Linked DNA regions of Sus scrofa. The protein of the gene in region 1 binds, or shares a complex with, the protein of each later gene. Links are inferred from orthologs where the notes say so. Each region holds a gene or a part of one and is shown in the gene's direction. Other genes may lie near its edges.

The links. Proteins that work in one complex are often made in the same cells at the same time.
Region 2: the proteins of RHO (region 1) and GNAT3 are in contact, whole or in part, in a crystal structure (PDB 4A4M), measured with the Bos taurus proteins. The link is inferred for Sus scrofa from reciprocal best matches to the Homo sapiens genes RHO and GNAT3. Residues at the interface, in NP_001014890.1 of Bos taurus: Leu72, Arg135, Val138, Val139, Lys141, Thr229, Val230, Ala233, Thr242, Thr243, Lys245, Ala246, Glu249, Val250, Asn310, Lys311, Gln312; in NP_001103452.1 of Bos taurus: Ile344, Asn347, Leu348, Lys349, Asp350, Cys351, Gly352, Leu353, Phe354.

What each region holds. Positions count from the first base shown.
Region 1 is NC_010455.5:68,907,452-68,911,201, forward strand, and holds the start of RHO (rhodopsin), read left to right. Parts: upstream 1-1,126; coding exon 1,127-1,487; intron 1,488-3,227; coding exon 3,228-3,396; intron 3,397-3,750. UniProt on the Homo sapiens protein: Photoreceptor required for image-forming vision at low light intensity. Required for photoreceptor cell viability after birth.
Region 2 is NC_010451.4:99,857,629-99,861,378, forward strand, and holds the start of GNAT3 (guanine nucleotide-binding protein G(t) subunit alpha-3), read left to right. Parts: upstream 1-1,204; 5' UTR 1,205-2,203; coding exon 2,204-2,321; intron 2,322-3,750. UniProt on the Homo sapiens protein: Guanine nucleotide-binding protein (G protein) alpha subunit playing a prominent role in bitter and sweet taste transduction as well as in umami (monosodium glutamate, monopotassium glutamate, and inosine monophosphate) taste transduction.

The sequences.
Region 1 (3,750 bases):
GGGTCTTGTCTCGGGAGCCCTGAGACCCTCTGACTCCTCCCTACTTCTGTCACTTCCCCCTCCTTCATCCCTTCTTCCATCTTCACTCCTTCAGTCCATCTTTGGGGACTGTTGAGCCACCTCTCTGTCCCTGAGACCTGCCCACCATGCCTGATAATGCCCCTGGCACTAAGCTCTACCAGAATGGCCCCAGCCCATGTGTGGCCCCAGGCCAGCTGGGCCCTAGGCCTCTGCCAGCCTTTGTCTTTAGTCAATGCTATCCATCCCTACTTGGTGACCTGGCAGAGGGCCTCCTTCCCAAAATGTTGCCTTCCTGGATACTTCCTGCATGTAGACCACCGCCACCCCTGGATGGGGGCTGTTCTTGCCATGGGAGTCCTCCTCCTTCCTCAGGCTTCATGTCCCCAGTGGCCTACACATAGATGTTTGTTGAATGAGTGAGCAAGGGAATTTCAGTTCAATGCAATAAATGCTTATTGAGCTACCGGGAGATGCCGAGCTATGTGTCTGGCATTGGGAAGGTCAAAGCTGGCAGGACCTGGCCCCTGCCCTTTCGAAGCTCATAACCTGGCAGATGGGTGAGGGTCAGTGTCTGGTGACTGGCTGAGCCAGGAAGGAGTAGGTGAGGGGCTGAGAGCAGAATAACCCGAGCCTCTGCCCTCTGAAAGCTCGTGGTGCAGTTGGGAGGAAGATAAGGCTTGCTTGCACTAAGCCAAAAGGAAGTGGCCATGGAGTCAGAGGTCCCAATGCCAGGCCAAGGCCACTGGCTGAGACAGCAGAGATTCCTCAGGGAGAGGAGAGTTGGGCCAGGCTTCCGGCCCTTTCCCAGGGTCCCAAGCATCTCCTCTCCCTGCCCACAGCCTTCCACCTCAAGTCACCTTGGCCCCTCTTGGAAGCCAATTAGGCCCCAGTTGCAGCCGTGGGGATTAATATGATTAATAACGCCCCCAATCTCCCAGGTGCTGATTCAGCCCAGAGCTTAGGGAGGGGAGGTCACTTTATAATGGCCTGGGGGGGGCGGTCAGAGCCCAGAGTCGTCTAGCCGGAGCCCTGCGTGGCCGAGCTCAGGCCTCAGCAGCATCCTTGGGTTGGAGCAGCTGCAAGGCAGCCACAAGGGGCCGCAGCCATGAATGGGACGGAGGGCCCAAACTTCTACGTGCCTTTCTCCAACAAGACGGGCGTGGTGCGCAGCCCCTTTGAGTATCCGCAGTACTACCTGGCTGAGCCATGGCAGTTCTCCATGCTGGCTGCCTACATGTTCATGCTGATTGTGCTTGGCTTCCCCATCAACTTCCTCACGCTCTACGTCACGGTCCAGCACAAGAAGCTGCGCACACCCCTCAACTACATCCTTCTCAACCTGGCAGTGGCTGACCTCTTCATGGTCTTCGGAGGCTTCACCACCACCCTCTACACCTCTCTGCATGGATACTTTGTCTTCGGACCCACAGGATGCAACTTGGAGGGATTCTTTGCCACCCTGGGCGGTATGAGCTGGGATGCCATGGGGGGGGGGGCAGGGGGAAAAGGAGCCAGGAGCATGACAGGAATCTGGGCACAGCCCCAGCCTTAGGGGTAGTGGCTGACAGGCCATTATCCAAAGCCCTCAATCAACAAACACTTCAGTGATCTGAGCCAGGCTGCCATTTGTTGAGGGTGGGACAAGTCAAGGGCCTTGCTAGGGTCACATCGTGGCAACAGCAAAGCTGAGTTTCAAGTCTCTGTAGCCCCTCAGGCCATGTTCCCTTTCTCCCCGGAGGAGCTGTGTGGGGTCAGACCCATGCCAGGCACAAGGATAGAGCTGGGCAGGAGAGACCCCTGCATGGGACTCCCCTCCTGGGCAGGACGAGGCTTCCCAGTCCTCCAGTCTAGACTTTGCCTGCACTGGGCGATGGGCTCAGACCCTACCCCAGCATCTATCAGACTTGGTCACAGCCCACCTCCAGCCTGTCATGGTTGAATGCGGAGCCATCCGTAGGGAGACTTTAGACCCGTGTGGTTATCTGTAGCTTCGGGTGGTACTTTATTTATTTGTCTTTTTAGGTCCACACCAGAGGCATGTGGAAGTTCCCAGGCTAGGGGTAAAAATGGCTGTGGGCTTACACCACAGCCAGAGCAATGCCAGATTCGAGCTATGTTGGCAACCTACACTGCAGCTCATGGCAATGCCAGATCCTTAACCCACTGAGGGAGCCAGGGATTGAACTGGCATCCTTATGGATACTAGTTGAGTTCATTACTACTGAGCCACAATGGGAACTTTTGGGCAGTACTTTTAAAGTATTTTCTTTAATGGAAAAACTGAGTGCCTCAGACCCATTAAGTAGGTGAGAAAACTGGGGTGTGGAGAGAGGAAGACTCAGCTGATGATGTGGCAGGGCAGTGACCAGAGCCCTGGTCTACTGGCTTAGCTCCAGGAATGTCCCACTGGGGACACAAAGCCTGTTAGGCAAGCAGGAGACTCGGGAGGTCGTTACTACAAAACGACCAGGATGATGGGAGAGCCTAGTGCCAGCCACAGGGATGCTCTGCCTCCCGCATATATCCAGGATGTTGCCTCATCCCCATTCCCAGGGATTGTAGCCATCACTGGGTGTTTGTCACCTTCAGTGACACACATCACCCAATCTCAGGCCAGAAGAGTGGCACATATAGGCAGGCACGCCTCTGCCAAACTGCTGCCCTGGAATTCTCACTGGTGTTCCCTCTGACTCTCAGAAATGTCCCATTGTGGTTGGCCAATGCTATGGCCACCTTCTCTCTTGAGTTTCTGGGGTTGGGGGCGGGGTGGGGGGTGTTGTTCAAGGAAGGTGCCTGAATTCCATCATTTCTTACTTCTTCTCTGAGCAAAATTGTATCCAGCTTCCTGGCTCCTAGGCAGGGGTCCCACATGCCCAGGTTGTTTCATTTCCCTGGAAGGGAGGCCTTCCAACCCCAGCTTCCATGAAACAATGCCTCTGCTGTGCCCTTCAGATGTGCAGGGCACATTGCTCTATAAAAACTCCCTTTAGAGCTCCCAGTCCAGCCATGACCCTGTGACCTGATTTTTGTGTCCCTCATGAACCCAGAGCTCTAAATTAACTTCCTAGGACTTACTCTGGACCCCTGGGCCCCTCCACTCAAGGACCTTGCCTTTCTTACCATCCTCTCTCCATGGAATAGGAGCTCTCTGTCCTTAAGCAGCTCCAGGCCTGGGGTGAGCTGACCAACAGCTGACTGCCTTACAGGTGAAATCGCCCTGTGGTCCTTGGTGGTCCTGGCCATTGAACGGTACGTGGTGGTGTGTAAGCCTATGAGCAACTTCCGCTTCGGGGAGAACCACGCCATCATGGGCCTGGCCCTCACCTGGGTCATGGCTCTGGCCTGCGCTGCGCCCCCTCTCGTCGGCTGGTCCAGGTAATGGTACTGAGAAAGGAAGGCAGGGTCCCTGGTGCTCTTCAAAGGGCCCTCCAGCCAGGCGGCATCTGGTTCTAGGCCCCGAGCTGGCAACTGTCATGGGGTTGAGGTTTAGGGTGAGGAAGAGAGGGTTAGCCCCTAATGTTGCTATGGGGCTGGTGCCACCTTCTGAGTCCCCATGTCAAGGAGATTCCAAGACGCCCCAACTGTTCACCTTGGCTGTGCCCCTAATCCTCAACTAAGCCAGGCCAGGTTCCAATCCTCTTTGGTCTAGTGCCTTCTGACCTTAGGTCTCAGCACCTGGGAAGGGCGAACATTCCTTGGGCACGTATGACACTATAGCCCCTGGGAACT
Region 2 (3,750 bases), on another chromosome or scaffold:
GGAGAACATCTAAACTAGTAAGATTTTGTCCTCACTCTAGTGGAATTTACTATTTTACTTTCATCATTTTTTTTAGGCCCAGAAAGCCTAAGTGAAGCAACATGGATTAATAGGTGTATTATCAACCCCAACTCATTAGCAGAGCTGTGTCCCAGGTACCCAGGGGAGAGGGCTGAGAAAAAAGCCTTTCTCTTCTCCATGGCTCTCCCCAGCCTCCCTCCCCTAAATATAGATGCAGCTTGAATTTTAGTCACTGATGAAAAAAAAATCACATAATAATTTCACGAAATTGATGACTGCATATTCTGGGCTGAACAGAAAAGTGGAAATTTGTAATTTAATACAGTGCAGAAAATATACAATTCTACCCCTGAAAAAGTTGGTCAGTTTTTGTCAGTAACCCACTTAGGGAGTCTCAGTAAAATATGTACCCTTTCTAAGCCAGGGTATGTTCCCACTAAAAAGCTATGGGGTATATTTACTTGAATCAAATTATACAAAGTATCTTATCCATTCATAATTGCTATGAGACATACATGCGTCTTTTATATTCAGGGTACTCTGTGTTCAATTTTGATGTAAAAACAAAAATCAGAATAGTTTAATATTTGTATTCTTATGTGCTACTGTTAATGTGGACTCAGTCCTCATGCGTAAGCATAAATAAAGCAATCAATGCAAATCTTTGTTCCTTTGGAGCAGGCCCTTTGCATTGTAATAGCAACACTGCATGGTTTGCATGGACCCTCGCATACCTGCCTTTCCACATCTTTATACTATCATAACATGGCTTTAGAAGAATGAAATTCAGAAAGATTTGACTATGCTTATGTATTGGCAGCCTAATATTTTATGTGAAAAAGTAAACAAAGCAGGACTCTGTATTGAATTTGGCAACTTATTTCCTTGTTCTATGAATATGCAAAAGCCCACCTGTTCAGACTGCCCATGATCCCAAAAGAATGGCCCTGACATGCTGATGGACAGACGGTATTCTAGCATTTCCTGGTTAGGTACATTCACAATTCCCAAAATGTGCACTGAGAGATTTGCCTGCTTACCACATGTTCATAAGGAAAACAGCACTTGACTACTAAATGCTTTTTGATTAATATAAACAAAAAATTACACAGGAATCTCCATCCCCAAGCTCACAGACCTTTAGGAAGGACAAGACATCTCTTGGGGTGGTCTAAAGGCATGGACATATCTAGGTATATTTAAGGTTCTTACTTTTCAGGAAAAACCAAATGACCTACTGGTTTCAAAGACTATTGCTTTTTTTATTCCTTTGGTACTAAATCAATAGACGTCTTTATAGCATAGCAGCTGTTGCTTAATGGTCCCAAAGAGTTAATGCACTGCCTAAATTGAACACATTTCAGTGTCTACCCTGAGCAGGATCTCAATTAATGTTGATGGATTGACTTTCTCACATGCGTAAAAGCTCAATTTGTACAATTTAATCCTATGAGACTAAAGCAAATAATTTAAGAGCACTGTGTGTTGAATTCTATGTTTGGCAATACAACAATGTTTATAGATGTAAGAACTACATGTATTTGTTTCCATTTTTTCATAAAAAGGTATTTTCTAGTTAACTGAAAGAGGCTACGAGAGTGTCAAACACTTTGAGACATAATCTAAGCATAGCAAGACTATAAATTTGGCTGATTGAATATAAATATTCAGATAGTGACACTGGAGTAATTACAAAGAATTTGAAGACTGAAATATCTGAAGATAAGATGCAAACTTTGTTGATTATTAATAATATCTTTACATCATGTAATAAGGATTGCCTATGATAGATAGATAGATAGATAGATATAAGTGGGAAACACTCCATTTGAACTGCTCATTCAGATTTTGACAACTTTCTACACTATGTATGGTATGCTATTCTTTAAGGAAGATGAGCAGGTTGGAGGATGTCCCAGAAGTATCCATTTAATTTGAAAGCATAATGAATTTCCTCTTTACATGCCAACCATACAACTCTATGGTTGAATAGTTTTACCCTGTGATCAGGTGACAGCTTGGAAAGCATCTCCCTAGTCAAAGCAGTGTCTTAGGGAGTGAGGGAATGCGCTGTTGGTACTTCAGCAGAGCACTGCTCTTGCATCCTATGTCCAAACAAGAGCTGTGCTGTACATTTTAAAAAGTTTGAGCAAATAAACTGACAAGTATCTAACACTACAAGATGGGAAGCAGCATTAGTTCAGAAAGCAAAGAGTCTGCCAAGAGATCAAAAGAATTGGAGAAAAAGCTTCAGGAAGATGCTGAGCGAGATGCAAGAACTGTCAAGTTGCTGTTATTAGGTAATATCGTGTTTTTATTTTGCCTTTAAAACCCTGATTTGTTTCATCCATAATATTTTACTTTTCTCAAACTTTAACCGAAATACCATATGGAAGGTTTATTATGAAAATGTGTTTGGAACTTAACTAGACTTCATATGAACTCTATAAAGTTTGCTTTTGTTTAGGATTTTATTACATTTTTTTTAGTTAAGCAGAGAAAAATATTTATTAGATGACTCATTTCTCTATGTCAATCATCTATTATTATAAAAACTCATGGACTTTTCTTATTTTATCCTAGTCATTTCCTGGATATCAACTTTTTTAATATTGAAAACAATCACTTATTACACATTTTAAAGCTTTATGTCATTTTGTTTGAAAATATGTTGATTGGTATCAACACTAATGTTATTTAATTACTTATGCTATAATAACCATTAGTTTCAAGTTATTTATAGAGTAGTGGTTAAATACTTTATTTCACATTAATAATATCATTCAGGCTCCTGAACAGGCCTGTAATGTTGTCTGCATACGTGGAAAAAAAAAAAAAAACCCTCCATTTAAATCCTTTCAGGATACTTAAATATTCATTCAGATCAGGAGTTATGTCTCTTCTACCTTTTATTTCCTCCAAATTCAGTACAATATTTTACCACAACTATAAATTCCATAAGTGTTCAATGAATTGAAGGAATGAAAATAATCAATATGCCACACATTTTTCTAAATATACAAACAAATGTTAACGTGTCATGGTCACTAGAAGATAAATATATTTTTCAAATAAAGACCTATGAAAATAATACAAAAGCTTTAATTTATTCATAATTGTGTGTTCCTCCTGATCTTAGTTATACATAAAAGGACTTCATTTTATTTCGGAATTGTGAATCTTCCACATAACAAAATGCTCTCTTTTGTGTGTGTGTTTGTGTGTATGTGTGTGTGCATGTGTCCCTTTGCTGGGTCTAATTTGGTACCAGGGGCAAAAGTGACTCAGAAACTATGACATTCCTAGCACTTTCTCCTCCAAGGACAGGAAATGTTTTCTCCCTTTATGCCCAAGTTCCAAAGCCTCACACTTGCCCGCAGCACTTGCAAGTATCTACCTAGAGAGGCTGGTAACTTAGAGAGACATAGGAATCAACTCTCTTGAAACTAGCACATATACTTTCCCTAACCTCCAGAGTATTCTCTAAGGCTTTGGTCAAGAGTGAAAGTAATGTGGATATAGAGAAAGCAAATAAAACGTGAGAGGGAAAAAAAATCAAGCATTCATGCAAATGCATTCTGTGTCCCTCCTATACTAAGAACAATGGCATGTGAGCAGTGTTGGAATATATTAAAAATCCCTATGTCTGAATAAAATTTCAAAAGAATAGATATATTTTCAATATATCAAGTATTTTTAAAGTGGTGGGCTAGATCAAGAAGAAAGGGT